Mus musculus: one gene and its partners. The protein of the gene in region 4 interacts with the protein of the main gene of each other region in a biochemical or structural test. Links are inferred from orthologs where the notes say so. Each region holds a gene or a part of one and is shown on either strand. Other genes may lie near its edges. The genes, in order: Sgk1, Kcnj1, Tbc1d10a, Slc9a3r2, Pth1r, Podxl and Slc9a3.

What was found.
Region 1: the proteins of Slc9a3r2 (region 4) and Sgk1 form a complex in vitro, tested with the Homo sapiens proteins (2 studies listed by BioGRID, with this or other methods). The link is inferred for Mus musculus from reciprocal best matches to the Homo sapiens genes NHERF2 and SGK1.
Region 2: the proteins of Slc9a3r2 (region 4) and Kcnj1 form a complex in vitro, tested with the Homo sapiens proteins (2 studies listed by BioGRID and IntAct, with this or other methods). The link is inferred for Mus musculus from reciprocal best matches to the Homo sapiens genes NHERF2 and KCNJ1.
Region 3: the proteins of Slc9a3r2 (region 4) and Tbc1d10a form a complex in vitro, tested with the Homo sapiens proteins (2 studies listed by IntAct, with this or other methods). The link is inferred for Mus musculus from reciprocal best matches to the Homo sapiens genes NHERF2 and TBC1D10A.
Region 5: the proteins of Slc9a3r2 (region 4) and Pth1r interact in a test that uses a peptide from one of them, tested with the Homo sapiens proteins (2 studies listed by BioGRID and IntAct, with this or other methods). The link is inferred for Mus musculus from reciprocal best matches to the Homo sapiens genes NHERF2 and PTH1R.
Region 6: the proteins of Slc9a3r2 (region 4) and Podxl form a complex in vitro, tested with the Homo sapiens proteins (3 studies listed by BioGRID and IntAct, with this or other methods). The link is inferred for Mus musculus from reciprocal best matches to the Homo sapiens genes NHERF2 and PODXL.
Region 7: the proteins of Slc9a3r2 (region 4) and Slc9a3 form a complex in vitro, tested with the Homo sapiens proteins (2 studies listed by BioGRID and IntAct, with this or other methods). The link is inferred for Mus musculus from reciprocal best matches to the Homo sapiens genes NHERF2 and SLC9A3.

Annotation. Positions count from the first base shown.
Region 1 is NC_000076.6:21,927,124-21,931,064, forward strand, and holds part of Sgk1 (serine/threonine-protein kinase Sgk1), read left to right. Parts: intron 1-1,218; coding exon 1,219-1,428; intron 1,429-3,941. UniProt on the Homo sapiens protein: Serine/threonine-protein kinase which is involved in the regulation of a wide variety of ion channels, membrane transporters, cellular enzymes, transcription factors, neuronal excitability, cell growth, proliferation, survival, migration and apoptosis.
Region 2 is NC_000075.6:32,370,749-32,375,259, forward strand, and holds the start of Kcnj1 (ATP-sensitive inward rectifier potassium channel 1), read left to right. Parts: upstream 1-1,669; 5' UTR 1,670-1,865; intron 1,866-4,153; exon of another isoform or gene 4,154-4,317; intron 4,318-4,423; exon of another isoform or gene 4,424-4,511. UniProt on the Homo sapiens protein: Inward rectifier potassium channels are characterized by a greater tendency to allow potassium to flow into the cell rather than out of it.
Region 3 is NC_000077.6:4,185,388-4,189,966, reverse strand, and holds the start of Tbc1d10a (TBC1 domain family member 10A), read right to left. Parts: upstream 3,135-4,579; 5' UTR 3,077-3,134; coding exon 2,868-3,076; intron 1-2,867.
Region 4 is NC_000083.6:24,647,302-24,651,720, reverse strand, and holds the start of Slc9a3r2 (Na(+)/H(+) exchange regulatory cofactor NHE-RF2), read left to right. Parts: upstream 1-1,415; 5' UTR 1,416-1,570; coding exon 1,571-1,783; intron 1,784-3,993; coding exon 3,994-4,194; intron 4,195-4,419.
Region 5 is NC_000075.6:110,728,921-110,732,861, reverse strand, and holds part of Pth1r (parathyroid hormone/parathyroid hormone-related peptide receptor precursor), read left to right. Parts: intron 1-1,221; coding exon 1,222-1,324; intron 1,325-3,132; coding exon 3,133-3,267; intron 3,268-3,941.
Region 6 is NC_000072.6:31,561,031-31,565,531, reverse strand, and holds the start of Podxl (podocalyxin precursor), read left to right. Parts: upstream 1-1,594; 5' UTR 1,595-1,883; coding exon 1,884-1,953; intron 1,954-4,501. UniProt on the Homo sapiens protein: Involved in the regulation of both adhesion and cell morphology and cancer progression. Functions as an anti-adhesive molecule that maintains an open filtration pathway between neighboring foot processes in the podocyte by charge repulsion.
Region 7 is NC_000079.6:74,152,038-74,155,978, forward strand, and holds part of Slc9a3 (sodium/hydrogen exchanger 3 precursor), read left to right. Parts: intron 1-3,051; coding exon 3,052-3,212; intron 3,213-3,941. UniProt on the Homo sapiens protein: Plasma membrane Na(+)/H(+) antiporter. Exchanges intracellular H(+) ions for extracellular Na(+) in 1:1 stoichiometry, playing a key role in salt and fluid absorption and pH homeostasis.

The DNA of each region.
Region 1 (3,941 bases), on a different chromosome or scaffold from region 4:
GACTGTACGTCCAGCTCAAATGTTCCTTACCCATCCTGGCCTGGAGCATCCTCAGTAGCTCAAGCTGGCTCTAAACTTCTGTGTTCCTGCCTCAGTTTCTCAAGTAGCCAAGATAGCAGGAATGAACCAATAAGCCTGGCTACTATTCTTTGTGTGTGTGTGTGTGTGTGTGTGTGTGTGTGTGTGTATTAAAAGAAAAGGCCTTATTCTAGTCTTGTCTGGCCTGGAACTCAACTATATAGACTAGGAGAGCCTTGAGCTCACAGCAATCTAAACTGTACCTCCTGAGATCTTGAATTACAGGCGCATGCCACCATCCCTGTCTACAACCTCACTAAAAAAAAAAAAAAAAAAAAAAAAAAAAAAGTGAGGTTTTATAATAGTGAAAAACACATACTTATCCTTGTCTTTTCCAAGTGCTGGAATTAAAAGTGTGCATCAGCACGCCCAAGTAACCTTAAGGTGTTAAGGTTTATTTTTGTTTCTATGTGGGAGGTAGAAGAGCTCTGAGAGCCCCCTGAATCTGAGGGTACCAGCAGCCGTGAGCCACTCAATGAATGTGGGAGCTGGGAACTGAACTCAGATTTTCTGTTGAAACAGTCCAAATTCCTAACTTGGGAGCCATCTTTCCAGTACCTGGCCTTGGGACTTCTCTTCCTCTCTATTTCCTGCTTCCCATTCCTTCGACTCCTGGACTGGATTCCTAGCTGCACACACACTTATGCAGCTACTTGTCTCTACGCCTTGCCCACCATGATGGATCCCATCTGCTTGTGCTGTAAGCCAAGATAAGCACTGCCCCTTTAAAATGATAATGACTTAAGAATAGAAACACTCTCAGACTGAGGCCCTAGCTCGGTGGTATAGTGTTTACTTAGCCTGCACGAGGTCCTGCATTCAATTCCCAGTGCTGCAAACAATAACAATAGGGCACGATGAAAATGTTGTAACTGTTACATGAGAGATGAAAGAAAATGTTGTAACTGTTACAACACAAGAGAAGTATCATTATCGTAGGCCTAGAATTGATGAGAGGCTTGGGGAGATGGAAGAACAGCCAGCATGGACCGGTTTAGAAGAGATGGATGGAAGGACTGAGAAGCTGTAAGACAAAATTTTCCTCATCGTAGTCTTTGTCTCATCAAATCTCCCAGCAGTGTGCTGTAAAGGACAACCTTAGCAAATGCCTCTCTCTGTTCTCTCCTTCTGCACTCTCAGGTACGAAGATGGATCAAGAGCCCCATGGTCAGCGTGGACAAGCATCAGAGCCCCAACTTGAAGTACACTGGCCCTGCTGGGGTGCATCTTCCCCCTGGGGAGTCAGACTTTGAGGCCATGTGTCAATCATGCCTGGGTGACCATGCTTTCCAAAGGGGGATGCTCCCTCCAGAGGAGTCCTGTTCCTGGGAGATCCAACCTGGGTGTGAAGTAAGTTCTTTATTTTGCTGAGGGCCCGCCCTTCTGGAATTGGAAACCTTTTTCTTGTGTTTGTGACAGAGGTGCCAATTTAAAAAAAGATGTATATTCATAATGCTTGTAAGTAGGAAACACAGCAGCAAGTTTTATTAGACTTTTATTTCATCTCCTTTCTTCTCTTCCTCTTTTCTTCCTTTTTTTGAATTAGGTTCTCGATATGTAATGCTGGTCTGGTCTGAAACTTGTTAGCCTCAAATTTACAGTTCTTCTTCCTCTGCCTTATGGATAAAATTGAAGGTCTGCACCACACACCTGTTATGCTTTTAAAATTATACCTATTTTGGGGGTGTACGAGTGTACATATGTGCATTTGTGTGTGTACATGCACATGTGTGTTTGTGTGGTGTGTGTGTGTGTGTGTGTGTGTGTATATGTATGTATGTATGTATGTATGTATGTACTTGCATATGCACCTTAACACACATATGGAAGTCAGAGGGTGACTTGCATAAGTTTCACTCTCTCCTTTATTATGTGGGTCCTGAGGACTCAGGTCACTGGGCCTTAACCCACAAAGCCATCTCACCAGCCTCCTGTTGTGTTATCTAATTAAAAAAAAAATCAACCTTTAATGTAGCTTGGGACTCATAGAAGTATTGTGCAGAGGTATAAAGATTTTCTATAATTTACATTTCCCTCCCCGAGCATAGCCTTCTCCATTATCAGCATCCCCAGCGGATAGATACATCATTACTCAGCACTGTAGTTTATGTTGGGACTAATGTGTCCTTGTTGGTTTGAGATGGGGACTTATTCTGTATCCTAGGTTGGCCTTACGTTCTCCATCCTCCTTCCTTAGCCTTCTGAGGACTGGGATCATACCCAGGTGCCACTCTACCCAGCTTTAGTTCATTCTTGGTGCTTTGGCAGCTGTGTAATGGTGCACAGTCAGGGGCATGTGCCATCCTGTGCCATAGCATTACTGTAGTAAAAGATGCCCCGTTCATCACTTAATCTTTCCAACTCCTATTTCTCCATGGGTTTGCTTTCCCTGCTAGGGAACTGAACCTTCTTAGAACTGCGTTAGGTTTTGTGACGCTCAACGACTGGTCATCTAGAATAGGTTCGGTGTTCAGTAATGTACATGATCAACTTTTTTTTTTAAAGATTTATTTATTGTTATATGTAAGTATACTGTAGCTGTCCTCAGACACATCAGAAGAGGGCATCAAATCTCATTATGGATGGTTGTGAGCCACCATGTGATTGCTGGGATTTGAACTCAGGACCTCTGGAAGAGCAGTCAGTGCTCTTAGCCCCATGATCAACTTGTAATGATGCACACAGTGGATTGTACTCATCACCGATAGACTTGCTGCTACCGATAATATTTAGTTCAACACAATTTGACCCACTTACAGCGTTCTCCTGTAACTCTAAAAGAATTTGGGAAGAGAGTCCTTTTCTTTTCCTTTTCTTTCCTTTCCTTTCCTTTCCTTTCCTTTCCTTTCCTTTCCTTTCCTTTCCTTTCCTTTCCTTTCCTTTCTTTTCTTTTCTCTTCTCTTCTTTTTCCTTATTTTTATTTTTGTTATTTTCAGGAAGATAAGATAACGAATTTATCACACAGCTTCTAAAATTTAAAAAATTAAGGGGTTTTATTTAAAGACTGAGGATTAAGGTAAAGCTATATTTTGAATTTGTAATTTAATTAGGTTTATATTTATTTTTATATAAGGCATTACGTATAATCTATATATTTCTTTCATTATCTCTTTTGTTTATTTGTTTTTGAGACAGGGGTTTCTCTTTGTGTAGCCCTGGCTGTCCTGGGACTCAGGCTATCAATCAGGCTGGCCTCGAACTCACAGTGCTGGGATTAAAGTGCAAACACAGCCCCACAATTAGGCTGTATTTTACTGTCAATACAGTGATAAAGAGCCCTAGGGCAGTAAGTAGTACATGTGTTTAGTCCCAGCCCTTGAGAGGCAAAGGTAGGTCAGGGCCAGGAAAAACAGTCTTTAAAAACCACCATTTCTGTAAGGTGCAACAATTGTAGGTCTTCCAGTGTGCTGTTTCAAGCCAGTACACCACCAGAGGGTTACTTCAGCATCATCCTCTTTTGAAGATGATAAGCATTTCCCAGAGACAAAGGACTCTTGTTCTAGATGTTTAAAGATTGAAAACATGGACCCAGGACATCATGCAATGTCTTCATGAAAAACTCATCCTGGTCACTTATGAGAAATGATCAAAAGATGAAGCATAGCCGAGCCTCCCACAATCTGTAAGGTTCCATGCAGAGGGTGCTCATTGTAAGAGCGCTGGTCTTCGTTGGCTTACGAACTGGCTAATCACAGGAATCAGACTCCGACTCAGCTCTGGGCTGGCCACAAAAGGCTTATTTTTTTCTGACGTTGAATGTTTTTGGCTTTACTGACACAGTCTGTGGCCTACTGAGGCATTTCTGTCTGTAGAGAAAGCTGTCATTGGATGACACAAGAAATAACAGGCCTGGCTGTGTTCTG
Region 2 (4,511 bases), on a different chromosome or scaffold from region 4:
GGATTTCTACAACAAAACACAAGAGCCTGGGTAATTCCAAATAGCAGGCACCTATTTCTACAGTTCTAAAGGCTGGAAAGCCCAAGATTGGCCCAATGGTCAATTCTGTGTCTTATGAGTGTCTAGTCTACGTGTTCAAGATAGGTCCTTCAACATTGTGTCTTTACATGGTAGAAGGCAGAAAGGCTGGAAGCTGATGGATACTCTGTCCTTACAGCAGCAGAGAATAAATATATCCACTCCACCAAGCCTCTCTACAAAGGCCAGGATACCATCCTTGATGGCTTTGCCCTCATGACTTCACCACCCCTTACAGGGTCGACCTTTTAAGATGATCACATTATCAAATACATCTCAACATGTAAGACAACAATGATCTACTGCATTCTTCTTCCTTGCCTATGACATGAGCTGGTCGTATAAGTATTTGAAGCCCTGATACCCTTCACTCAAGCATTTCTGGATCAATTTCCATTTCATCTCTGCTGTAAATAGCATCATGTGTTGGTTCTGCTCTATAAGGCAGTTTCTGTGTGACTTTTCCTGGGGACACGAACAAAAGTCTGTTCAACCCTGAAAGGACACTGGTGAGCACAATTCCACCCAAGTCTAACTTGGTGAAGCAATGTGGGCATTGGGGTTGTTTATAGGAGGGTAGATGGAGCTTACTTATAGATGCATAGGTGCCTCAGGGAACTGCATTACCCAAAGCCCACTCTAACAACATTGACAGCTTGTCACTGACATCAGCATGATAAAAGCTACATCCCCAAAGAGTCTCCTGTCCTCTAGCAGTTGTTTCCCATCTACAAAGTTCTGAGGAGGGGCCTTGTGAGTCTTATAATTCTCTTGTGAGCTTTGTGAGCATCTATTGTCCTTCTCAGTGGAATGTTTCAATATGGAAGAAATGGCTATACAAGTATCTATGGTGTCAGAGCCGCTGGCACAGCCATCTCCAAGCTGAGGTGCTTCTCGGCCCTTCTGCTTGGTTCCTTGGTTCCACTCCCGAGTTGAGGCTGGTGTTTCCTTGTTGTCAGGTAATGAGACAGTGCGTAGACGGCCACTGTTTCTCCTGCACGATGGCGGCTTTCCCACGCTTCTGATGGTGATCAATGGTGATGTAAGTGTTCTGAGAGGACATTATAACCCAAAGGAGCTCCTAGAACAACAACTTAGAAGGGGTCTAGGATCAGATGTCAGTCGGGGTGACTAAAGAGAGCAGAAACACTTATACCAAGGCACTTCCTGCATTATCTTACTTCACAGTACAGACTTCTTAGGTCAGGCAGCACTAGGTTACTTGCCTGGGGCAGAAGTTGGTGGATAGGGTCTCAACCCTACTGATCGATCTCCTTAAGAGTCTGTGCTATAAAGTGCTATAAAGACCAACATTGCTTTATACCCATAGTGATGAAGAAGGACCATTGGAAGGTCAGGTTAGCCCAACCTCCTAGGACACTGAGTGATTCTGGACCTTGTATATTCACTTATGTGATATGGACACTATCACACAAGAAGGCCTTCCTCTGGTTCCAAGCCCTGGCTCTATAAACCAGTCTCTCTTAATTATCTTGGCAGCCTAACACCTTCGGTGTATCTCAATCATTTAAGGCCACGCCTACTCTTGTTGGATCCGGTTATAAAGTAAACCATGTTCTTTGAGAACTGCTGCATATAGATGAGTCAGGAGCCAGTCAAAGCTGACCCACAGACATAAAACCCAAGGTACTGGGCACCTTTAGCTGGGGCATCCAAACTCTCGAATCAAAGGTGCAAGGGACTTTCTCACATCAAGCACCTGACTGCTCTCTTGGGGACCAAGAAAATGAACGTTTGTCTCCACGTTTACCCCAGCAATCCATGAGGTAAGAGGACACACATCTCATTGCCCTTCTGTTGAAATACTAGTTAATTCTCATGCAAGCTTAGCCTCCTTTTTTCCCTACCTGTAACCGAGACAGATTTGTCCCTCCCCACCCGAGGGATAAGAGTGTGGTTTTAAATCACCTCTCGCCTGGGATCTGCTGGTTGCAGGTGGATTAGTAGAAGGATTACACATTCTGCCTACCCTCGGCCACTTCACAGCTCCGAGGCTGGAAGCCTGTGTGAGCTTGATTGCATCACTCCAGTGCAATGTCTTCTCTTGGCTGCAGGATGAGCATGGGGCTGCCTCTGAGCACCCTGAAAGCAGCATCTTGTTTAATAGTAGAACCTCCCTCAGACCTTCTCTGCCTTGAAAGGCAGAGGATAAAGGTGCTATTGAAGTCTAGTGTAGCCAAGGCAAGTTACAAGCTCTATGACATCTTGTCTCAGGCAAGTGCTCGGTTTCCCTACGTAACACTTGGTGGCCTTTTGTACCATTTCCACTGCAGGCATTTAGATCTGTCGTTATCTGTTCTGCTCCCTAAATATTGTTCTGACAAATGTTCTGGGTGGTAACGATGCCAACTGGTTCTCTACACTCTGACAGGCATGGGGCTCCTTCTCCAAATATCTGTCTCTAACAGATTCTGTTCATAGCTACCCAAAAGAAGGTGGCCGTCTATAATCAACATTTAGGCAAAGGGCAACTTACAACTCTTAGAACAGAACACAGTGAGTATGGAAGGAAGTGAAGGTAGGCAAGGGTTTTCCAGACACGTCAGTGCTAGAGAAGTGCCCAGTACCGAGGTGTTGGGGTTCCTCATTGGCCCTCTTCTCTGTTCTACTTGATATTTTATGTGAACGTGTTCCCACTGGTCAATCAACTGCTGCTTTTCAAGTCACAATGAGATAGGATTATCTGGGGAAATAGCAGTCGTTCCAAGTTTTTTTTTTTTTTTTCCCTCCCATTTTCTTTTCTCCGACACTCATTTCATGGAGATGGGTTTCCTTCTACACAAGGAAGTGATCAAGTCCTTTCAGGCTGAAGATTGAACTTGTAAAGAAGCAGAGAGCACAAATTGCTCATGACAGAGTCTTGGACTTCTGATGCTGTTGGTGGCTTTTGGTTTGCTTTGTCTGACTCTTAAAAGCAGTCACCGTGTGAGCTGCTCAGCACGGCCACACATGCCCTGCTCTGGAGAGATGAATCGGAGTCCCCCATGCATGTCCCTTGCCTTTGCTCCGCCAGGTGTTTCTGGTACTAGGTTACAAATCTATCTTGGGCCTTTTCTTGGCCTGGTGACTTCCCGCAGACCCAGCTGTGACTCACATGTTTTGCTTTTCTCTGCTTAAGGATTTCCATGGACAGATGGCTTCCCAAGCTCTCTTTCCAGAACTTTCTCTGGGATGACTTCTATGTCCCAGCACTTTGATCCTCCCGGAACCCACACTGGAGTTCTCTTTCTCTATAATCAAGCATGCTTTCGATGACACGTGTCTTTCCTTTGTTCTTACACTCATTAACATTATGCCTGCTGTCCTTTACATCTTCCTATGTGTTCCCACAAGTGTGCAATAAGCAAACTTAGAATGTTCTGGGAACCATGCTAGGTCCTGGGACAACACTGCGTGGCCAGATAAATGCATGTCATGGCAGTATTGGTGTGGTGGCCTGGCATTTCCAGTCTAGGCTCATTGTGTGGTGTGTGTGGCCTGGGGTTTCCACAGAGCCGGGCACTCGCGGAATCATGGCCGAGTGCGGGTGAAGCATGCTGTACTTTGTTAATAGAAGACTTCAAAAATAGCATTATCCTAAAAGCCTTAGGTAGATAGGATGGTACCTGATCGGGGCATGAGAAAGAATATTCCAGAATAGGAAAATATTGTTCACAAAGGCATGTAGGCATGATACATGCAGGGTGCATTAAGCCAGTGGTAGCAGGGTGGGGGTGAGAGTGGATGTGTAATATAAGACAAGAGAAGCCACGGGGTTTGTGGGACAGAAGGCCTCACAAGAGGTGATAGGTTAAGAGCTTAGTCTGTTTGTGGAAAGAAGACTGAGTGCAAGGTGGCCTGGGAAAGAGGCCCCTGAGGGGTTGAATCCTTGAGATCTAGCTGCTGACCGGCTCGAGCAGGGGACAGGGAAGAAGGAAAGCTGGAGACCTGGCAAGGATGAAACATCAGGCTTTGAATGGCAACGAGCATTTTCCTTCCACTTAATCTTCATACCTCCACCTGGGCTGCAGCTTCAGAGAGATGAAGTGAGAGACATGTTGGGCAGTGGACTCACCTTGCAGATAGGTGCCTCTTGTCTTATCCGCATCTCTGAAATGCGCAGTTGTCTGGGGAGAAGTTGTAGCCGGTCTCTTTTCTCCTGGGCGCTTCAGGCTGAAGTGAGGCATTGTGGTGGATGTAGAGTCAGTTTGGCTTCAGAGGACTAATCCCTCGGTGGCACTGTAGGACACAGCAGTGAGTTAATGCAACAGTCTGAGGTTGAGACAATGCCAGGACGCACAGCACAATTGCTGAATGATAGAGGCTCTTCTGTTACTAAACCTACCTACTCCAACCAAGTGAGTGTTCCAAGCACTTCTTCCTCCCAGGAATGATGCTGCTTAGGTCCCCTCAGCATCGTGGTCAAAGGAGGC
Region 3 (4,579 bases), on a different chromosome or scaffold from region 4:
TGTGATCTTATGTATGTAATATGCTATGTGATCTTATGTATGTAATATGCTATGTGATCTTATGTATGTAATATGCTATGTGATCTTATGTATGTAATATGCTATGTGATCTTATGTATGTAATATGCTATGTGATCTTATGTATGTAATATGCTATGTGATCTTATGTATGTAATATGCTATGTGATCTTATGTATGTAATATGCTATGTGATCTTATGTATGTAATATGCTATGTGATCTTATGTATGTAATATGCTATGTGATCTTATGTATGTAATATGCTATGTGATCTTAAGCAAGTTTTTGCTTCTCTGGCCTCTGTTTATCTTCTATATAAAGGCTATACTAGTCAATCTCTTAAGATCTATTCCAGCTCAGCTCACAATTTTATGATATACTTTAGGCCAGTATGCAACAGACACCAGAGTGAGGAAGCCTCTGTTTTCTTTCCTATTCCCACAGACCTTGACAACCACCAAAACTGACCTGTGCTGGGACAACCTTTGGCCCCCGATGTCTGAAACAGACCTTTAATCTGGAGACAGAGTCTCCATCCGGATTCTGCAGGCCATTTGTGCTAATGTTTCACTTCTCTGGGATAGCACATGTACTCCTAGCCCTCAACCACGAGACTAGGTTCAGGGCGGTCACAAACTTCCCCTCGTATGGCCTTGGGCAGGGACTTACTTTTGGCTTTTTTCAAAACACAGTATAAACTAAACAAGGAAGATCCAAGTTCTCTGATACCAGAGATTTTGCTAATGGACAAGCTGAAGGAAACGAGGCAGGGAGACAGAAACAGATCTAGGGTCTCACTTCAGACTTGGCCTAACAGACATCAGAGACGTGGAGGGCACCTGTGGGGTTGTATCCTAAGTGTGCTATTGGAAGGTGGAGAAGATGAACAGCAGGCTGAGATTTTTGGGATGAGAGCCAAAGGGAGGTGCTCCCATTGCGTCTCTTCCCACAAATACCAGAGGTACGCCCTAATTTTTCTCTTCATTTCTCAGACCCTTAGAAGGAGAAAGAAAGCGATTTCTTGGGCTATTCCTGTGCCAGGCATGGTGCGGGATGCTTCCATATATCCGGTTTCATGTTCCTCAGCAGCAATGGGTATACACACTACTTTTTCCCTTGACTAAACAGGCTAGGGACTCAAGATCTACCCAAGGTCACACAGCCAGCAGGTAGGATCCCTAAATCTGGCCCTTCCTCACTCTATCATATCGCCCTGCACCCTGAAATCTGGGTAAAAATCCAATAACCACAGAAGAGTTCTCATGCTTTAGAATTTACCAGCAAACGTGACTGTTACGTCCAAGACCCCACAGATAAAACTGAGAATTCCTTTCCCACCCCCTCAAGACCTCACCCTTCCTGGGCCCCTGATCCCTGAGGAAGGGCCCAGGAAGGGTCCCTGATGATCTTGCCCCAACTGAAACACAGCCTAAACCCTCTCTCTAGGTTCCCACAAGCTCATACAGGGTGAAAGGTGAGAATGAGGGCTTCTCCTGGTTCTGAACTGGACCAGGCTTAGTCTAATGTGAGCAAGAAAGAAAGGTTGGAAGAGACAGATCCAGTGGGTGGGAGGAAACATAGGTCAGAGGCCTGGATTTAAAATTTTCTCCTTCTAAGGAGGAGGAGGCCTCGTGAATAAGAGACTCTTGGGGAGGGAGGGTGATATGGTGGAAGTGACATTTATATGGGACAGCTTCATGGAGTGGGTTCTTAAGATAATCAAGCACTTCTGTAAGTCCCAAGAACAGCTGGGGACATCCTGGGCAGTCACAATCAGTCAGAGGAGAGGGAGAATATATACTGGCGTAGGGCTTCCATGGTGCCTGTGAGGCTCTATAAACTGGGAGGTACACTATGACAGGGAGGCTTGTCAGTTCTGGGTATGGCGCTAGTCTCCTATCACAAGACAAGTGGAATGAAAGCAGGATCTAGAGGCCATCTTCCTGAAGAGACCACCAGATCGCATCCGCAGTCTCTGGGAGGGCGGGCTTCTAGGGGTTCTGCTGTGTACAAATCTGTAGCCCAACATGCTCAGCTTGGAGGGAAGGTGTTACTCCTGCCTCAGCTTTCTCTAATGGAAAGCTGGGTACCTGGTAGCTCAAGGGTGGGGTGCTGTCTCCCTCCTTCTCCAGTCCTAGATCTGGATTTGGGAAGGAAGGACATAAACACGGCAGCCTGGGAGTCTACTGGCTGGCTCCCCTGTGATGAAGCTGACAGGGGAGTCCTAGAGTTGAGGTGCCCTATAACTACTGGGAAGGAGTGTCGGCCCACCTGTTGCCTGTGACAATGGACAAAGCTGCCTTTTGGCAGAGGGTGTGTAATGAGGAGAGACCTTTCCATGATGAAAAGAAACTGGGAGTCAAGATGGGACCCTCTGGGAGGGGGCTGGCCAGTGTCAATCCTTCTGAGATATGTGTCTGGAGGTAAGGGTTAGCGCGACCTGGAATAGCTCGGAGTCCTGAAGTCTTAAGATTTCCTGGGGTGCCGATACTGAGGTGGCGAGACAAGGATTCTGTGGGGTAGGGGGAGATGGAGAATAGCTGTGGGCAAAGTATGGGGCAGCCATCTGTGCGCGTGTCAGGGGGTGGCAAAGCTTTAAGGCCAGAGTAACCTGCGAGATTATGAGCTGGAGATGGGAAACCCCCATCGGGGATACTCTCCTTGGAGGGTATGGATCAGTCGGTTTGGGGAAGACCAGGAGGAAGGGAATGGCCTTTCTGTTCGTAGGTAGAAAGTAGGCTGCCGCTTGCGGCGTATCTGTGGGGTTGGGACAGTGGAGACACGTTGGTGGGTCAGGCCCACGCCTGTGCTGGTCCCGCGCCCGGCCCAGACCCCAGAGCTACTCACGCGCCCTCGGCGCCCTGCGAACCCACGATGAATCCGAACTTGTCGATGCGGCGCTCGGCGAAGCCGTTGGCCTCCGAGTCGGAGCCGAGCGAGCTCAGCTCGTCGGCGGTGGCGGCGTCGGGGCCCTGGGCCAGGCTTTCCCGGGTCCCAGACAGGCTCCCGCCTGCTGCGGGCTCGCGCGGCCCATTCTCTCTGCTGCTTTTCGCCATATCGGCCGCGCCCGCCACCAGAGCGCCAGCGGCCACCTCAGCCGCCTGAGCCGCCCGGCCTCCGCCGACGCTGCCGACGCCCCTCCCACGCACTGTGCCCATTGGCTGCCACAAAGCTGGGGGCGGATACCCAGGGAGCTCCCACCACGCGCCCAATGGGTGCCGAGGGTCCCGAGCCTCGCCCCTCCTCCAGCCTGGCGCCAAGTGGACCGACGTGAGGGGGCGGGACAACCGTCACCAAGGGCCCGCCTTCCCTGGCTGCCAATCACAAAAACTCACCTGGACTAGCTCGTCTGGCTTTTCCGGGTTGGCCCGGAGCTGGTGTGTCACCTGCTGCTGCTCTCTGGCAGAAGGTCTAGGGCTTCCCTAGAGGTCCTAAGGTCTCTGCCTCCATGGGAAACAGGGTCGTGGGTAGCGCTACTTCGCCAGGTCATTTTCAAGAACAGTGATGAGACGCAAGTGGGCTTAGGGATCTGAACCACCTGGCTGTTCTGCTTAGGGGGATGCAAATTAGCTCGTGGGAGACCCTATAAGAATAATACAGAACAGCCGGGCAAGATGGCTCACGCCTTTAATTTAATCTCAGCACTTGGGAGGCAGAGGCAGGCGAATTTCTGAGTTCGAGGCCAGCCTGGTCTGCAGAGTTAGTTCCAGGACAGCCAGGGCTACACAGAGAAACACTGTCTCGAAAAACCAAAACCCAAAACCAAATTATATATATATATATATATATATATATATATATATACACATACACACACACACACACACACACACACACACACATATATATATATCAGACCTAAGCTCTACCTTTTTCTTCCCAACACCTTTCTGGTGAGGGTTGATTTGTATTGTTTTTCTTTGAGATAGGGTCTCCAAAGTGGCTTTGACTTTACTATGTAGTCTAGGGCCCTCCCTGTCTCCCAAGTGCTGGGATTACAGATGTGGGCTATCCTGCCTGACTCCCCAATAGTTTTATTGAAATATGGTTAGCATACCACCACTTCCATCTATTTAAGGTATATACATACTTCCTATATTTAAATTCCATCACCCCACCGACACACCTACACATGCACAAATACATAAAAATTAAAGATAAATTAGGCATGATAACAGATGCCTGTACTCTGTAGGCTAAAACAGTTTACAAGTTCCGGACAGACTGACTGGGCTACAAATAAAAATCCTATCTCAAAAAAAAAAAAAAAAAAAAAAGTACAAAGCTGGGCGTGGTGGTTTTTATCCCAGCACTCGGGAGGCAGAGGCAGGCAGATTTCTGAGTTTGAGGCCAGCCTGGTCTACAAAGTGAGTTCCAGGGCAGCCAGGACTACACAGAGAAACCCTGTCTCGAAAAAAAAAAAAAAAAAAAAAGGTACAGTCCCATGGTTCTTTAGCATCCGTACAGAGTTGTGCAAACATTGCATCCTCCTCCTAGGAAATTCTACCGAAGAAAAATGAAAATAATGCTACCTGGTCAAATAGAGAGAAAAAGAAAAG
Region 4 (4,419 bases):
CAGCATTACGCCAGGCTCAGTGAAACCAATCCTAAGCTAGAAAGACAAACTCTTTGGATAAGCAGGCAGACAGATAGATGGAAGTGGTCAGTCAGGCCTGTGGCAGCATCAGCTAGAATCTGAAGAGAGGGCTGGAGGCAGGGAGCAACAAAGTATCCTCAGCCTAAGTGCCTTTTAGGAGCAGCAGCTAGGGTGTGGGTACCCAAGGGGCTGCTGCTGAGAGGTGGGTCCTAGTGCTTGGGTGGGGGTTGAAAGCCTCAGCTAAGGGTTCTGGAGAGAGGGGAGGGAGAGGAGAACACTGAGCTAGGACTGCTTCTCCTATCCACATGGGGAACTGTCTGAGCTGGCTGTACCTGACGCCGGGGGACCAGGTAAGTGAGGAGCTGTGGGCTGGGGAGAAGCAGGCTGTGGGTAAGCCTGGATCTCAGCTGTCTTATGTGTTGGGAGGATGCTTCAAGGTGAAAGTGCAGTCTCACAGTACTGGACTCTAGCAGAGGGTTTTCTCTAGGCCTCAGTTTCCTGATCTGTAAAATGGTCAGTTTTCTCTAGGGCTGTTTTTTGGAAAACCATATAGGAATGCATAAGGGGTTTTCAGTGGGACTATTTTCCTGTAAGAGTAGATGAGAATTTCATCAATTGTAAATCTAAGTGCATTGGGACTATAGACTTAGGAACCGGCGTTGGGAGCCCTGTGGGGCTTAATTTGGGACAGCTGATCACCACCTAGAGCTCAGGGACCAAAGTCCTCAGTACGGTTCATACTAGGTCAAGAGGAAGACAGCACACACCTCCCATTTCTGCCAGATAAACTCATGTTCCCAAAAAGCAGGGAATACAGGAGACAGGATGTTTAATGGACAAACACTTCCTGGGAAGAACAAGGGGACACCTATTTGCTGTCCTTGGTTGCCTAAAGACAAAGACCTTGGTTGCCGTGGTGTCTCTTTAAATTCTTATTCTTGCCTGTTGCTCTTTGGGTCGGGACAAGACAACTTCGGGGATCTAGAGGGAGCAGGCAGAACACTCCTGGTAGGTAGAGGGTGGGGTGCATCCCGAGGAAAGGGCGCAGTGGCCCTTGCACTTCCCCTCTGGCCTCTGTGTAGAGTGTCTCTGACAAGAGGCTTCCCATTTCTGGAACCTCTCTCACTGTACCATATGCAGGTGTCCAAAAAAGTGGTTCCTGGACAGAAGTCAAAGGTGCTGGCGCTACGGAGGGTGGCCAAAATGGGTTAAGATAGGACTCCCAGGGACTCGAGGGTTGCCTGACCAAGCAATCCCACTCCTTGGTCCTAGGGTTTCTGGGCGCCCAGGCAGGGGCCTAGCTAGCGGGGCTTGGGTTAGGGCGGGGGCAGCCAGGAGGGCGGGGAAGGGGCGGGCGCGGGGGCGGCGCTGCAGCAGGAGCAGGGGCCAGGGCCAGAGCCGAAGCCGGAGCCCGAGGCGACGCGAGCTGAGCAGGAGCCACCGAGGCCGCTGCCTGCTCTCCCGCCCGCGCCTCCGCCGCCTCCGCACTCCAGCCTGCGGGTGGTGTGAGCCGTGGCCAGTCGCGGCCGGCCAGGGGGCAGCGGGTGCCATGGCCGCGCTGGAATCGCTGCGGCCCCGCTTGTGTCGCCTGGTGCGCGGAGAGCAAGGGTACGGCTTTCACCTGCATGGCGAGAAAGGCCGCCGTGGCCAGTTCATCCGGCGCGTGGAGCCAGGCTCCCCAGCCGAGGCGGCCGCGCTGCGCGCCGGGGACCGCCTGGTTGAGGTCAACGGCGTCAACGTAGAGGGCGAGACGCATCACCAGGTGGGTCCCTGCGCTGCGCCCCGCCCCCCGGTTCCCTCCTAGGGGCGCGTCCCTACAGCGCTGGCCAAGATGCCTACGACCACCCTTCTGCGTGCCGTATGGTGGGACCCTGCAGGGGTCCCATGGGGGCCTGCTGTTTGGGTGTCGAGGTGTGGGACGTGGCCCGCCAGCTGGCCTCCTGGTGAGGAAGCTCAGTCCTGCACAAGCGGGGGAGGGAGGACATCCTGGTAGGGAGGGGCCGCACTGCGGCTACTCTGGCCAGGGCCCTGGCTGCTTCTGCTAGTTTTGGCCTCCGTGTGCCATGGAGGGGGAGGAGGTGGCTAAGGCACCTTGTGGCCTTGTGGTATAGATGCTTTTCTGTCAGTGTGTGAGTTATGTGTGTGTGCTCTCAGGTCTCTCTGGGGTCATCCATATGAATACACTACCCAAGTGTTCCAGGAGTGGATGAAAACATACTTGTGTCAGGGCTGGAATGTGTGTCTAGGGTTGTGTGGACACATCAGGCATGTGTGCTGGTCTCTCTCTCTCTCTCTCTCTCTCTCTCTCTCTCTCTCTCTCTCTCTCTCTCTCTCTGTGTGTGTGTGCATGTGAGTGTGCGTGTGCGTGCACGCGCTTGCGCCTGCTTACCTGGTTACACTAGTGTACTTTTCATGGGCTTGTGTGTCTGGATCTGGTGGAGTTGGCTCTAGTAGCAGCGATTCCTTGGGCTCAGAAAAAGCCTTTTTCTGGGCGGCTGCCTGGCCCTGTAGAGGTCACTGTATAGCCCTTGCCTGCTGCAGCAGGAGGAAGGAGGAGAGATGATCCACTGGTCTCTCTGCAGGTTCTACCTCTGGAGTGTCTGTATCCCGCTGAGGGGTAGATACAGTTAAGACCATGGTTACACTTCAGCCTCCCTCCACCTTTTCTGTTCTGGAACCCTAGTACCACTAAGTCCATGACCTATGGGAGTGGTTAGTCCTGAGGCCTGGAGAAAGCAGTGGTTCCTTGCTGGACTGAGTTGAACTTCTATCTCCCCAGCGACCAGTAGGTAGACTACAGTGACCCCTGGATTTGGTTGTGTGCTGAAGAGTTTGGGAGTGAAGCCCAGTGGTTGGCTTAAAAAGCAAGGGAGAGACTGGCAGAGTTGATGTCATATGCCTCTTGCAGTCGCTGAAATGTACCTGTTTATCCCAGGTCTCTAAAGACCTTCACCTAGAGCCACATTAAACTCCTACTGCTCAGAGAGATAGGAGCCAAAACCACGACCCCCATTCTGCTGGTAGCGACTGTGGTGACTGGCTTGGCTCCCATGGCAGAAGCATCAGAGAGCTGGCATCCCTCTGCTCTGTTGGTTATGGGGAGAGAGGATGAGCACTGAGGGGCCAGGTAGAGATGGGCCCAGGTAGGGCCTTCTTATCTGTGGTGGCATGTGCTAGAGAAGCCATCTCTTCACTCCCAGGCTGTAGGAGTGGATCTTGCACGGTCCACGGTGTCCCACACCTCACAGACACCCAGGCAGATAGACACACAGATGGCTGTAAAGCCACATCTGCTCTGCTGCTGTACCTGATGGATGTGAGCACCTTAGAATTGTCTTCACCTCTTTGCAGGTCCAGCAGGGATGGGTTTCTAGTCCTGATCTGGAGGCAAATTGAGGTTCTAGAACTTGTTGGGCATTAGATTCACACTGCATCTCCAAGAAAGAAATAAGCCCAAATACTCACACTGGGGCCAACAAAGACATTGCTCTCTCCTACCCCTGGACCAAAGAACAGACTTTAAAATACACACACACACACACACACACACACACACACACACACACACACACACACACACACAGAGAGAGAGAGAGAGAGAGAGAGAGATAAGCCTGCACACATGCATAGACCAGATTGAAATCCTGAAGCTCAACTGAACAGATTTGGACTCTCCCATCTGGCTGTTCCAAGCAGTCTTCCTGTGCTCACCTGAGCTGGGTGCAAGGCCACAAGAGAATCCTGAAGTACTTGCAGCCTGGGCCCTAGCTACAGGGAGAAGAGGGAGGGAACTGCTAGAAACTGGGGGTGGGGGGTGGAGCCTGCAGGCCTCTCAGGCCAGCTACCCACCCCTGGCAGGCCAACCCCTGCCCCTCTGTCCATGAGTCTTGGCCTAGCCGGGAGTGATGCCCTACCCATGTGCTGCCTGGGGTGTTGGCTGCTGACCGGGTCCCTGCTTCGCACCCGTTCCAGGTGGTACAGAGGATCAAGGCTGTGGAGGGGCAGACCCAGCTGCTTGTGGTGGACAAGGAGACCGATGAGGAGCTCTGCCGGCGGCAACTGACCTGCACTGAGGAGATGGCCCATCGAGGGCTTCCCCCAGCCCACAACCCCTGGGAGCCAAAGCCGGACTGGGCATGCTCGGGCAGCCTTGGCTCGGACACTGGCCAGAAGGTATGGTAGGCTGTGTCTGTGGGAACAATGAGCCTTTCCCAGAACTACAATCCCTGCCCCTTGATAACAATCTTCCTTTTGGTCACTTCTATAAGCCTCCATTTCCTCTTAGGGCTCTTTACCTACTGCAGTAACCGCTCTCTATGCTGCTGGTGAGCACTGCAGCAACTTGTCTGCCTTTGTCCCCTTTGCTGGAGGTTCCAGGGACTAAGGAGCTCTGAGAGG
Region 5 (3,941 bases), on a different chromosome or scaffold from region 4:
AGCCGGAGCAGCTGCCGCCAAGAGACGCGGTCAATTAACTTCTCCCTTCAGCCGGGCTCCCTGACCCGGGCCGCCCGCCCCCTCCCGCCGGCCCGCCCCTAACCTGACCCGCCTCCTTCCTTCCAGGCCTCCAAGTTCTCTGCCTCTCGTAGCTCCACCCTTACTAAAGAGACCCGCCTACATGGCCAGGCATGGGCTGGCAGAGCTGTCGGTTCAGGGTGATCAGGCTGTGTTCTTTGGAGTTTAAGGAAGAGGTAGGCTTTCTAGGGGAGTCATGAGGTCTGAGGTACATGGCTCTGACTGCCCCGGGCTGTCCCAGAGTATCCCACCCGGTACTCCTTCCAGGCAAGATGCTGGCCCCTGCTTCCAAGTCAGGGGAGACTCAGATCTCCTCCAGCAGCCACCATCTCAGAAAGAGACTCTCCCTGACCCCTTGCACTATTCTCTCTTCCGGGGTTAAAATGATGTTGCTGGGTCCCCGTGGGTGTACAGAGTGGAGAGAGGACATTCTTTCAGAGAGGTCAGCAGGAGCAAAGGCCTGTGCTGAGTTACACATGTCCTCCGCAGCATCTGCTAGGATGGAGGAACTTCCAGTGGGATGAAGGGCTCCTAGGACTGCGCCGAGCTGCATGTGGGGGTGCAGCCCAGCCCACTGCTTCTCCATTTTCCCTCTTTGGGGCTCTCAGTAGGAAGGGTGAGACTCTGACCCTTCACTGGGAAAAGCACCGGCTGACCACTGGGTCAGCATGGAAAATGGTGGCTGTCATGGTCCCCGGGGGCCTTGAAACTTGAAGGAATCCAGGCTGGATTTATCTCCTCAGAGTTCAGCACTCCTGATCTAACCCTGGATCACCAGCAGGCAGTCAGGACCCTGTGAGGCTCCATCCTGGGACATTCCACCATTCCCATACACCCCCCCCTGGGGGGGGGGTTACTAGACAAAGAATGCCAGTGGATGCTGGGTTACTGCTGGACAGACAGACAAGACAGCTTCAATTCTTTTCTCCTCCCTGCAAGGGGGCAGGTCCTAGCCATTGAGTTACCGTGGCTTCAAACTTTAAAAGGGAGGCTCTGGAAGGCAGATGCTCTCCCCGACTCCCCACATTCTCTCTGAAGGGATCACTTTTCGAAAGGGGGGAAATCCCTGGGGAGGTTGCATGAGTTTGGAACCAGCTGCCTCACCTGGAAGTGCTGCCTACAGTCTGACCTTTGGTTTGGCAGGTGGACGCAGACGATGTCTTTACCAAAGAGGAACAGATTTTCCTGCTGCACCGTGCCCAGGCGCAATGTGACAAGCTGCTCAAGGAAGTTCTGCACACAGCAGGTGGGGGTGGGGTCAGCATGTGAAAAGGGTGGGAGTCTAGGAAGCGGGGGACAATCGGGTGAAGGAGTTGGAGGCATTAACCTTGGGTGGGCTCAAGAAAGGGAGACCCAGCCAGAGTAAAGGCCTAAAAGAGATGGATCGGGCAAGGGTGAAGTCAACAGGCTCAGGCGATCCTTACCTTCCGGGACTCGGGAAAGTGCTGTCTGCCCACCGGAGCTCTCAGACCCAGGCATGGCCATGTGGGGGCTGGGGAGGGGGAGAGAGACAAGAGCCTTTGGAAAACTTGCTGAAAGATGTGTGGGTCTCCCTTTGCAGATGGAGAAGGCAGACAAAGCACGGGGTCCCAGTGGATTTAGATGGGGTTGGGCAAGCCAGGGACTTTGCTGAGGGCGCTGGTCCAAACAGGGTGGGCTGGGCCAACTTCCTTAAAGAGAAGATTAGCCATGCCATGCCTGGAAGGATGGGAAGCTCCTGCATAGAACCAGCATCCCTAGAACTAGATGGGACAGGGATGTGTGTGTCACTCAGCCGATAGCCTGGACAGAGGGCGTTGGACCGCGCGTGTGTGCGCGCACACACACACACAGCATCTCTAAGGGACCTTGGCCATGGGTAAGGAGGGCATCTCCCATCTTGGGTCTCCTCTCTGCCCCCTTCCGTGAGTCTCTTTCCTGGAAGCAGGTATGGGCTACATTGGCATTCATCCAGGCTTCTGAGGTCTGGCCAATCTCATCACCCTTGCTTACTGTCTGTCCTTCCAGAGCAGCTTTCTCTCTGGAGCTGGCTCTCGGGTTACTGGGGGCTGGGAGTAGAGCATACCCAGGACACAAGCAAATGGTGACAGATTCTCTATGAAGCAAGAGGACTTTGTTCACATTTGTAAAAACTTCCTCTGCAGACCAAGCTCCACCTATCCTGGCCCACCTGTCACACAGAGGGTAGGGACAGATGAACACCTCATATGATCCTAAATGGGGCCCTCTTCCTAGTTGTGGAACCCACAGTTTGGGTACATCTCTGGCTCCTCATCTATCACAGAACCCCTCCCTGAGCGAGAATGCTGTCAGTCATTGTCACCCCAGTCCCCATTGTCAGTCATTGTCAGTCATTGTCACCCCAGTACAGGTTGCCTGGACTCAGCTTCCCACGGACCCCAACGTAGGAGGGTGCCCAAGGTACCCCAGCTTGGGTTACAGCTGAAGTCACACAAGTCAGATAGTGAGGACTTTCTGGCTAAGGACAGAAGCCTCCAGTGTCTTTTCAAGGAGGACAGGTCAGGCCCCAGCTCAGGTGGTGTCTTCAGGGGCTCTTGTAGAAGCTGCAAGCCCCTGACCCGAGTATCTTCGGGCAGAGGGTGGAGAAGGTGGGCTCGTGTGTCCACTCCTAACACAATGCACTCTTTACTCCTGGCTGTGTCACCCACACAGCAGGCTAGCCCGACTTGGTTATCACCTTTACCTCCATCCACCTCTCCCAGTTTCTGCCATGCGCCCTCTGGCGGGCTGTTTCCTCCATCGAGGCTTTGCCTCCTGGCCTGCCATCCTTTCCACTTCCCAGGTGACCCCACCTCATATGTCAGTCACCCCCTTTGAACCTCTGCCAACCACATCTGTTTCCTGGTTGCTTCTCCACCTAGCAAACACCCCCGGGTCACTTGCTTGTCCTCCCTAATCTTCCAGCAGCCTGAGTGTCAGCATCCTTGATAGGATCAACTCATTGTAAAAAGGGGGAGCCGGTGAGGGGCCGGGCAGTAACCAGGGCTGTGGTTACAGCACAGCCGATGGCTAGAACCACCCCCATTTCTCCAGCCAACATAATGGAGTCAGACAAAGGGTGGACGCCAGCATCTACGTCAGGGAAGCCCAGGAAAGAGAAGGCACCGGGAAAGTTCTACCCCGAGTCTAAAGAGAACAAGGATGTGCCCACCGGCAGCAGGCGCCGAGGTATGTCTGTCCATCTTGTGCCCTACCCCTCCTTAGGCAGTCATTTGACCAGGCTCAGATCCACCTGTCTCCACCAATGTGAGTTCCTACAGAAAGTCAGAGACCACAGCTCCCTTCCCAGAAAAGCAGGCCAGGAGGCATCACGCATAGGGGTGGGGAGTCAGGTGAGTTGGGAGGCCTTGGCATACAAGAAAGTGTGCAGAACGGATGCACTGACTCCCCAGAGAAGGACCCAGAGCTGCAGGAAACCCGTGATCCACTGAGGTAAAGAGAGAGGACAGAGTCCTGAGAGACTAGTCAGGGAGAGATGTAGAGAGACAGAGAAGGGAACAAGACGCTCAACCCAGAAGTCTGGTATGTCAAAGGAAGTACAGAAAGACACATAGTGGGAAGACCCATAGACACAGCAAGAGATGAGGGCAGCCTCAGAAGGGTGGAGGCAGACAGTGGGACAAGGAGAGAAGAGGAGAGAGGGAAACAGGGTTGCCTCGGGGAGGTGAGGAGAGACAAACACAGAGCCCAAGCTGTGGCCACAAGGCCAGTTAGAGCCAGCAGGGTGGGCAGCAGATTCCAGATGGGCCACATCTGGGAGCCTGTGGTCACCCTGTGGCTCCCCAGGGACCAGAGGGAATTGTGGGCCTGGCCGGGTGGGGCTGGGAATATGGCGCCCAGGA
Region 6 (4,501 bases), on a different chromosome or scaffold from region 4:
CCATACGCGGCGTGGAATACCATGCCAGAACGATCATGCAGAAACTTCCTAGTAAAGACAGCCTGGAAGCTCTTCTCAAACTTGAGGCCCGCTGCAAGGACGCCCCAACCCTACTCTTCCTAAGCGGTTTCACGATGAGCCTGCGCATAGCCCACTTGAGAGATTCATAAGGTCCACGGTCCTTGGGATCCGGGAACAATCTCTCCACTTAGGCTCATCTGACAGAAAGACTCCGGATTAGCAACCCAGGAGTCATGTGTGACAAATTTTCACCATATCCTTTCCGTGTCAGCCTCCCCTCCCCCTTCAGCTTTGTATCCCGAGATGAGAGTGCCACCTCTGCAGGGGACTCCACTGAGTCTGCAGCCCGCAAAGCCTCCCCGCCTCCCCAAACGAATAGGATGCGAGCTTCTTTGTCCTTTCACAGAGTAAACTCGGGTTTATGAGATTCTCCATTTATGAGATTCTCCAATTCCGATCTCCCACCTCAGGTCTATGGGTTTCTCACGAGCGAAAGCTGCTTCTTTCATTAAGGCTGTTCAAGGTTCTGGCCCTACGCTAAGTGCGTCTCCCAAGCAAGTGTCTCAGCAGCTGTTGGAAGTGTTGTTAGCCTTGTTCTTCGTATGTAAAGAATCAAAGCACTCAGAGTGAGTTAGCCCAACTAGGTTTTGAGCCCAGGTTGGATTTGACGCCGAGGCCCTTAAATCTCCATTGCTGCTTTTTATTCAGCAATATTATTTCTTATGGCTCAATTACAGTATTACGGGCTCTGTGCAAAGTATTTTTCCAGATTAATCTCAGAAGTAAGGCTGCTATTTACCACCTAAGGGATCTTAAACAACTTTTTAAACTATTTTTTTAACTCTATTTTTCTGTCTGCAAAACGAGGCTTAAAAATGTGACTGCCGTGAAGAGCAAGCGAATTAATACGTGCAAAGCACTTAGAACACAGACGCGCACGAATTAAGCGCTGAAATTTTTGCCTTAAAAGAGTCGCATCCATTTGTACATCGGTGGGAGAGGTTAAAAACAAAAACAAAAACAAAAACAAAAACAAAAACCCGTCCAGATGGTACGGGGCTCATCCCGGAGGACAGACTTGGGGACTGCACGAGATCCAGGCACCTGCTGGGCAGGGGACCTGCTTCCCTTGTTCTGCCGCAGGAAGGCGCTGAGGTCTGGGGGCCTGGAAGGGTCGGTTCTTATCGGAACTTCCAGACTGGGGGGGCCTGTGCCTGCGTTGTAAGGGCGGTAGCATTATGGAGGATCCGGGCTGATCCCCTGCAAAAGCAATGTGTAGGACATCCGCGGCATGGATTGATTGTCTGACAGGGTCCCTGGCGCGCGCGCAGGCAAGTATACACAGCGTGAGCACAGATTCACAGGCACACACACACACACACACACACACACACACACACACACACACACACACTCACTCACACACGCACTGCCCGGGACCGCCAGCCCCTGCTCCCCCGCCCGCCGCGCTCCAGGGCGGAGTTTCCTCCTCTGCTTATTGTTCGCAGCCCAGCGCCCGCCCAGCCGCCGCCCCGCCCGACCCCGCCGCCGCTGTGGGCGAGCTCCTGGGGGAGGGGGCGGAGGCCAGCGCGGACGGGACGGGGCGGGAGTCTTCGCAGCAACGTGCGCGGGGCCGCAGCGGCGCAGACACCGCCCGGGCCGCAGACACCTTCGCTCGTCGCTGCTGGCTCCGTGTCCCAGCCCAGCTCTGCGGTAGGCAGGAGGAGCGGCCGGATCGCGACTCCGGAGTTCGCGGCCGTCGCCAGGCCTCCCGGAGCGGCGCCGACGCTCCCGCTGTCCGGACGCGCGACCCTGCGCCAGCGCCGCAGCCACCTGCTCGGAGTCCCCGGGCGAGCACAACCATGCCTCCCACTACGGCGCTCTCCGCGCTGCTGCTGCTGCTACTGTCGCCTGCATCTCACTCCCATAATGGTGAGTGGACAGCCGCGGCTCTGCCGGGACCCCTGGTCATTCCCCTCCGCCCCAAGCCTGGTGGGGCTCCTGGGAAGCCGGCTGCACCGCGTGGTCGGACCGCTTGCAGCCTCTCCCGCGTGGCCGCACGCAGAGTCCTGACCTTGGCACCATCCACGCCCCCTCCAAATTGGAGAACCCCGCAGGTGCGGGGCCAGATCGTGGATTTATTCCTAGTCTTCACTGGTGTAGAGTGAGCCGGAGGTTGTGAGATTGTAAAGGGGGCACTTGGTGGGTTCGCTGGAGATGGGGGGGAAACTTTGGGTTGTGGGGAGGTCCCAGATTCCCGCATGACCACCAGAATGCGATTTCTCTTTCTCGTGTTTGGGGCTACTAGGGGACCGTATTGGGAGGTCGTTGAAACTAAGCAAAGCCGCGGGCAGGGACCACAAGAAGGAGCCCCTGAAACTGACCTCAAATCCCTAAATGCCCACGCGTGTAGCGTACTTCTTGTGCAAGCGCTTTTTCTTAAGCTTGTCCCGGGACGGGTGGAATAAGCGCTCCTTCCAGGGTCCCAGAGCCTGGTTCAGTGGGGTCCTTGCCTTCATGTTGCCAAAGGACCGGATTCTTTCTCAGAGCATGGCCAGGATGGTGGGCCCCTCCCACCCCTTTGTGTAAACAAGAAATTTCTTTCACAAATGAGGTTTGAGTTGTGTCTTAGTAATACCTCGGGCACCCATCTCCCATCAGACCCAGCTTGGAGACGATCCCACTACCTTCTTTCTGAAGGTGGAATGTTACTTTCTGTTTGAGAGGTCAGGCAGTGTCTGCAAACATAACCAGAGCAGGTGTCCCAAAGTCCCTGCCAAACAGCTGAGAGACTCAGCCCAGGAGAGAGAGGCAGGTTTCATAAACGGAGTAGCCTATCTTGAGCAGGTAGCTGCAGGGAGAAAGTAGCGAAGGGAGGCTTTCCAGAGTCGGAAGTACAGTGGTGACCGCCCAAGCGGGGAAGGGACTCTGCTGCTGTGGGAGTTAGTGTTGGGGGAACAGGATTCTGCAGAACAATGAGAGATGAGATGGTAGGGTGGCGAGGGCTGGTCCTCAGGGAATGGAGGTTTAAACCTCCGGAGGGTGGCCTGGGACTCCAACGGGACCTGGAAGGGAAGAGTACTCCCATTGGGGGAAGGGCCTGTGCTCCTTGAGGAGGGGTGCAGTTCGAGGAAGATGGGAAGAGCTTGGAGGGCCACAGTCTAACAAGGACCGACAAGTCTGTAGAGTGCCCTGGCAACTTCATGGTCTTCACATGCAGTCTTTTGGAGGGGGAGCCCCTAGTACCATTCAAAAGCCAGATGAGCTAGTTAGTCCACAGTGATTCCAATCTTATAGAAGCCAAGCTTGGAGAAGATACAGGCTAAAGGGAGATCCCTGGAAGCCATCAGTGAACTGCTCCCAACCGGGTCCCTGGACATCAAGGTTGGGCTTCTTCTTCTTCTTCTTCTTCTTTTTTTTTTTTTTTTTTTTTTTTTTTTTTGGCCTTTTTGAGATAGGGTTTCTCTGTATAGTCTTGGCTGTCCTGGAACTCACTTTGTAGACCAGGGTGGCCTCAAACTCAGAAATCCGCCTGCCTCTGCCTCCTGAGTGCTGGGATTAAAGGCGTGCACCACCACGCCCCGGCAAGGTTGGGTTTCTTGTCTGGCACCTGACAACTGCCTAGGAATGATGCCTGCTGAGGGGCCCTGTCCAGACTCTACCACAGGGACAGCTCATAGTCAGAGATCAATATGCTCGAACAAATGTGTCCAGAAACCTGGCCTTGTTCCAAACAGCAAGTCTCTTAGCACCACTGAGCCCTGGATACCGAAATCCTGAAATGTCATTTTCACAGTATGTGGCAATATAGAGACGTTCTTTGACAGTGTTTGGTGGCGAGGAGGAATGGTTACACTGATGACGAGGACAGCAAATTGATTATGATGACGATGATGATGGTGAATTGTATCCAGGTCAAAAAAGGCTTAGGGGGCAAACCTGGGTTTGGGTTGTGGTGGTTTTACACCCTCCTCTAGGCCTGTCATCAGCCATATCTCCCCACCCCCACCCCCACCCCCACCCCCCAGCACCACCTCAACTGGTGGAATTCTATGATGAGATGCAAAACTGTAGGCTTCCAGTGCAAGTCTCTGTAACAAAGGGATTATCCCAACAGGTCTCCTGCTTTCCTCCTAAGCTGGTGGTTTGAGCTCACCCTGGAGGTAAACAGCCTTTATATCCTGGGGTCCTTCCTGGGCTTTTCCTTTGCCACAGGGCAAGTCAGACCTTTGCTCTCCACTTTCCTTTCTGTAAAGTAGGGTGGAGGAACAGAGGGACCTCTGTTTTCACTGTTGTGGATGTCTTGACTTCCATGTTCCTTGGCTGTTGAAAAGAGAGACTGATTTAGGCCTCTCTGGATGATAGCCTTTTGAGGGATGAAACCTGGGCAGGAGACAGGTGGGTTGGCATGGTGGAAACTCTCTGACTGGGCCCCACACTTGCATGTCTGTGGACTTTTCAAGCCTAGGCTTCCTACTGA
Region 7 (3,941 bases), on a different chromosome or scaffold from region 4:
ATTGCAAAATGTCATAGTGAGGAAATGATGGACCAAAACAAGACTGAAAAACAGCTGGCCTAACTCCAAACTCTGTATCTCCATGTGTGATGTCAAAGTGCTTTTCAGACCTCCAAATCCTTTCATCTTTGTTGACTGCAACAAACTTCTTTTTATCGTGGGTTGGTTCTACTCCCTGTTAGCAGCTTTCCTCAGCAAGTATCCCATGACTCTGGCATCTCTAACATCCTGGTGTCTTCAAGGCAATTTCAATGTTACAGCTTCTTGTTCAATGTCTGGGATCCACACGTGATCTTCTGAGCTCCACTAAAGGGTTTTGGTCACATCTCCAGCTCTGCTTTCTACATCACTAGGCTCTGGTTGACTCCACTCCACTGCTGCAGCTGCTCTTGGTGGTCATCCCATGGTATTGCCATTTTCAACACACTGGGGTCTTCTGCTGTAACTAGGCTTCACCAATAAATATTCTCTCAGAAGCTCTCTTCATGGTGCCAAGCCTCAGCTTCTTTGCAGTCCTGGGATGTCAACTGCATCTGAGGCCGCACCTTCAACAATGGCCTTTCACAGTGTCAAGCCTCAGCTGTTCTCCATGACCCCTTCATACCTTCAAAACCAGTACCATCTGGGTGAATCTTATTATTACCAAGTCTAGATGCCAGCATGGTGTCTATCTCTGGAACACAGCTTCTTTGTGCTCTCAGAAAACATTTCCCAGACAATTTTACCTCAGTGATTCTGGTCTCTTCTTAATCACTGCTAATTTCTTAGCTTCAGCCAACCAGCATCAATTGTCCCAGTAACCCCTTCTACACTTGACTCTAAAGCCAGAGTCATGTGACTGAAGAAGCTGAATTCTTCTGCTTGCTGTGGCTGGAACATGGCCCACTTGTTCTATTACATCATCGTCAGCTTTCTGTTTTCGATGACTTTCTTCACTACCTAAGCTTGGCTGTCCTGGAACTTGCTCTATAAACTAACTTTAGCATGCCTCTGTCTCCTGAGTGCTGGGATTAAAGGGATATACCACCATGCTTGGACCTTTCTTTACCTTTCACAGGGTCTTTATAATTTGTGGGTTGTACTTCATCCCAGATATAACCAAGCTGACAATCAAGAACAACCATCACAATCCCATGCTGAATCTTTGTCCAGCTGTGAGACAGTAGGTGATGCCTAAACAGATGGAAGTAGATGCTCACAGGAGGACTCGGAGTCAGGATGTTCCCTTTGGAACACTCATTAAGTGAATGAGGCCTTTGAAATCCTGGAGACCAAGGAGAAACAGGAAACAGTAAAACCAGGAACTATCAACTAGTATGTGTAAAAAGGTCCAATCTATAATTAGCTTCCTTGAGACATCTGTAAGCTAAAACTTTTGTGCCATGTTCATAACAGATTCGTGGCCGCACAGATCAGCAGGGTGGGTAGGTGTGCATAGGCAGCTGTTCTAACTCTTATCATAGTTGCCAGAATGGTGTAACCAGCTGGTCAACCCCCACGGGAGAAGGAGATGAAAGTGAAATGCTCTTAGTCGCATGATGAATTACAGAGTTGAGCACCTCAAACCTCTAGAGTGGTTTGGTGCTGTTTCTGCTCATGTACACTAGCAACTTATTGGGAACTTATTATTTTAGGGAGACCCCTTTTAGTCCCTTATTGTCTGCATCACTAGATAAAGACCTCAACGGTGAAGGCTTGCCTGGCTTCTAAAACTATAGGCATCCTGCCCGAGGGTGGGTACTATTGGTCACATTGGTGATGCCATAAGGTGATTGGAACATATCTAAGATAGCTGGACCTAGAGAAATGTCTTGAGATAGGGGACAGGGGCTTGTGGATCTGATACCGACAGCTACTCAAGGGACATACTGGCCCTCACTTGATGGCCCTGTCAGCCATAAGATTCCAGCATGTGATATTCCTGGGGTTGTTTTTAGGGTAAATGGAAAACCCTGTAACAGACTGACTTATGGTGTAAGTATAGAGCTTTAAATACAGTTCACTGGACCTTAGCAAGTATTCTTATATGGGAAATCACATGCTTATCAAATTCTAGAACATTTTAATCTCCAGAAACATCTAGGCCCACCTTCCTACTATGTCATAGTCATGAAGAATCATTATACCATAGTGTCTTTTAATAACCAGTATTGCTATACATCACTGTCTGCAGTTAGGGTCACTCTCCCATGATAGATATGGGATGTTGGCTTGTGCTTCATCTTTGAGACCTAGCTGGTCAAAGCTGACCAGAAAGATTATCCTCATCCAATGAGCTCTCTTTTCTATGTGACTTTGGCTGCTGGTATAGCCACATTTGCCTAGGCAGTGGTCAGACTCTGTGGACAGTAGTTCAAGGCTGGGGCTCACCCTGAGAGGGTCAGCTAAGTTCCACACAAATGTGTGTATACTGTCTAGGCTGGAAAGTCAGTCCTGATTCAGTGGACTATACATCTTCTGGGATCCAGCTTGGTTTTTGGAATGCACTTTAGGTCTGTAAAGATTCTAGACCAAGAAGCTGGCTCCGCTAAGGCATTTCAAGGCTATCTATCCCAGAAGGTAGTTTACTCTGGAAAGCTTGGCAGGGCTTATATGGTGTGGCAGTTTAGTGTGTGGTCCACTTCTAAATGGAGACTTCAGAGAGCTCTGGTACTGGCTGGAGGCAGCAGAGTTTAGTAATCACTGACATATGGGGCTCAAGTCACTACAAAGACCACCTTGTCCAGTGCCCTCTACTTCCTGGGGCACATTGGCTGCCTGAGATTCTTCCTAATGATCATTCTTTGGCCTCAAGGGATGGCAAGATCTATCCCAGCTCAGAAAAGAGAAGGAAGCGCCACATGGGGGGACTGTGTAGTCTTACATATTTTGGGGGTGTCTGGCTGTGAGCTCCAGTCTCTGACATCCTCTTTGTCACTGGGTAGCCCTGGGAAGAGTTGTTCCTAGCCTTTATTCCTGATGACTCTGATCATCCAGGGACCTGAGAGATGTGGGATTTGGAGAGAAAGAGCCAAGTGGCTAGCCCATGTCCATGGTCTACATCTCTTGCAGGTGAACTGAAAATTGGACTCCTGGATTTCTTGCTGTTTGGTAGCCTCATTGCAGCTGTGGACCCAGTGGCTGTGCTGGCTGTGTTTGAGGAAGTCCATGTCAATGAAGTCCTCTTCATCATTGTCTTTGGGGAGTCACTGCTGAATGATGCAGTGACTGTGGTGAGTGATGGTGGGGTCCCTGGAGTAGCTACAGAACATTTCACTTGCATGGAGGTTTTAGGATACCTTGCCAAGTGCTCGTTACCAATATGCTTCAGATAGAAAGAGGGCCACTATCTGAACATGGTCTCCTTTTAAGCTATGTTTTTAATCTAAGATGTCCAACTCCTGCAGGGTATGTCTATCACCTGCTCCTTTTTATTGGTTCAGCAATCTTGGGGTATGAGTTAGGGGTTGGGGAGACAGAGGCTTTGATCTTCTTCTGGCTCCCTAACTCTGCTTCATCCAATTTCTCTATTTTACAATTTTAGGCCCATTCATTACCACCTTTGGCAGTAATGCTGCCCTATTGAAATCTCTATATCCACATCCCCCAGAGCAGAGGTCTATAACTTTGGACCCACACTTGATATTACCCACTATTTCCAAAGAAACAGACAGGTAAATAAACAAACAACAAAGTCCTACAGGAATTGCGTTAATCCCATGGGCCCACCAAAACAAAATACTTCAGAAGCCCGTGGCTTAAACAGTAAGAGTTTATTGTCTCAATGCTGAAGGCTGGAAGCTGAGAGCCAAGCATGGCAGCTGGCTCTGGAGGCCCTTTTCCTTAGCCCACAGATGCTATCTTCTGCCTGTGTGCTCACATGGTCATCTCTCTGTGTGTTTATGATCTGCGCTCTTCTTATACATCATTTCTTATACATTCTCATGCATACCCTATTGATC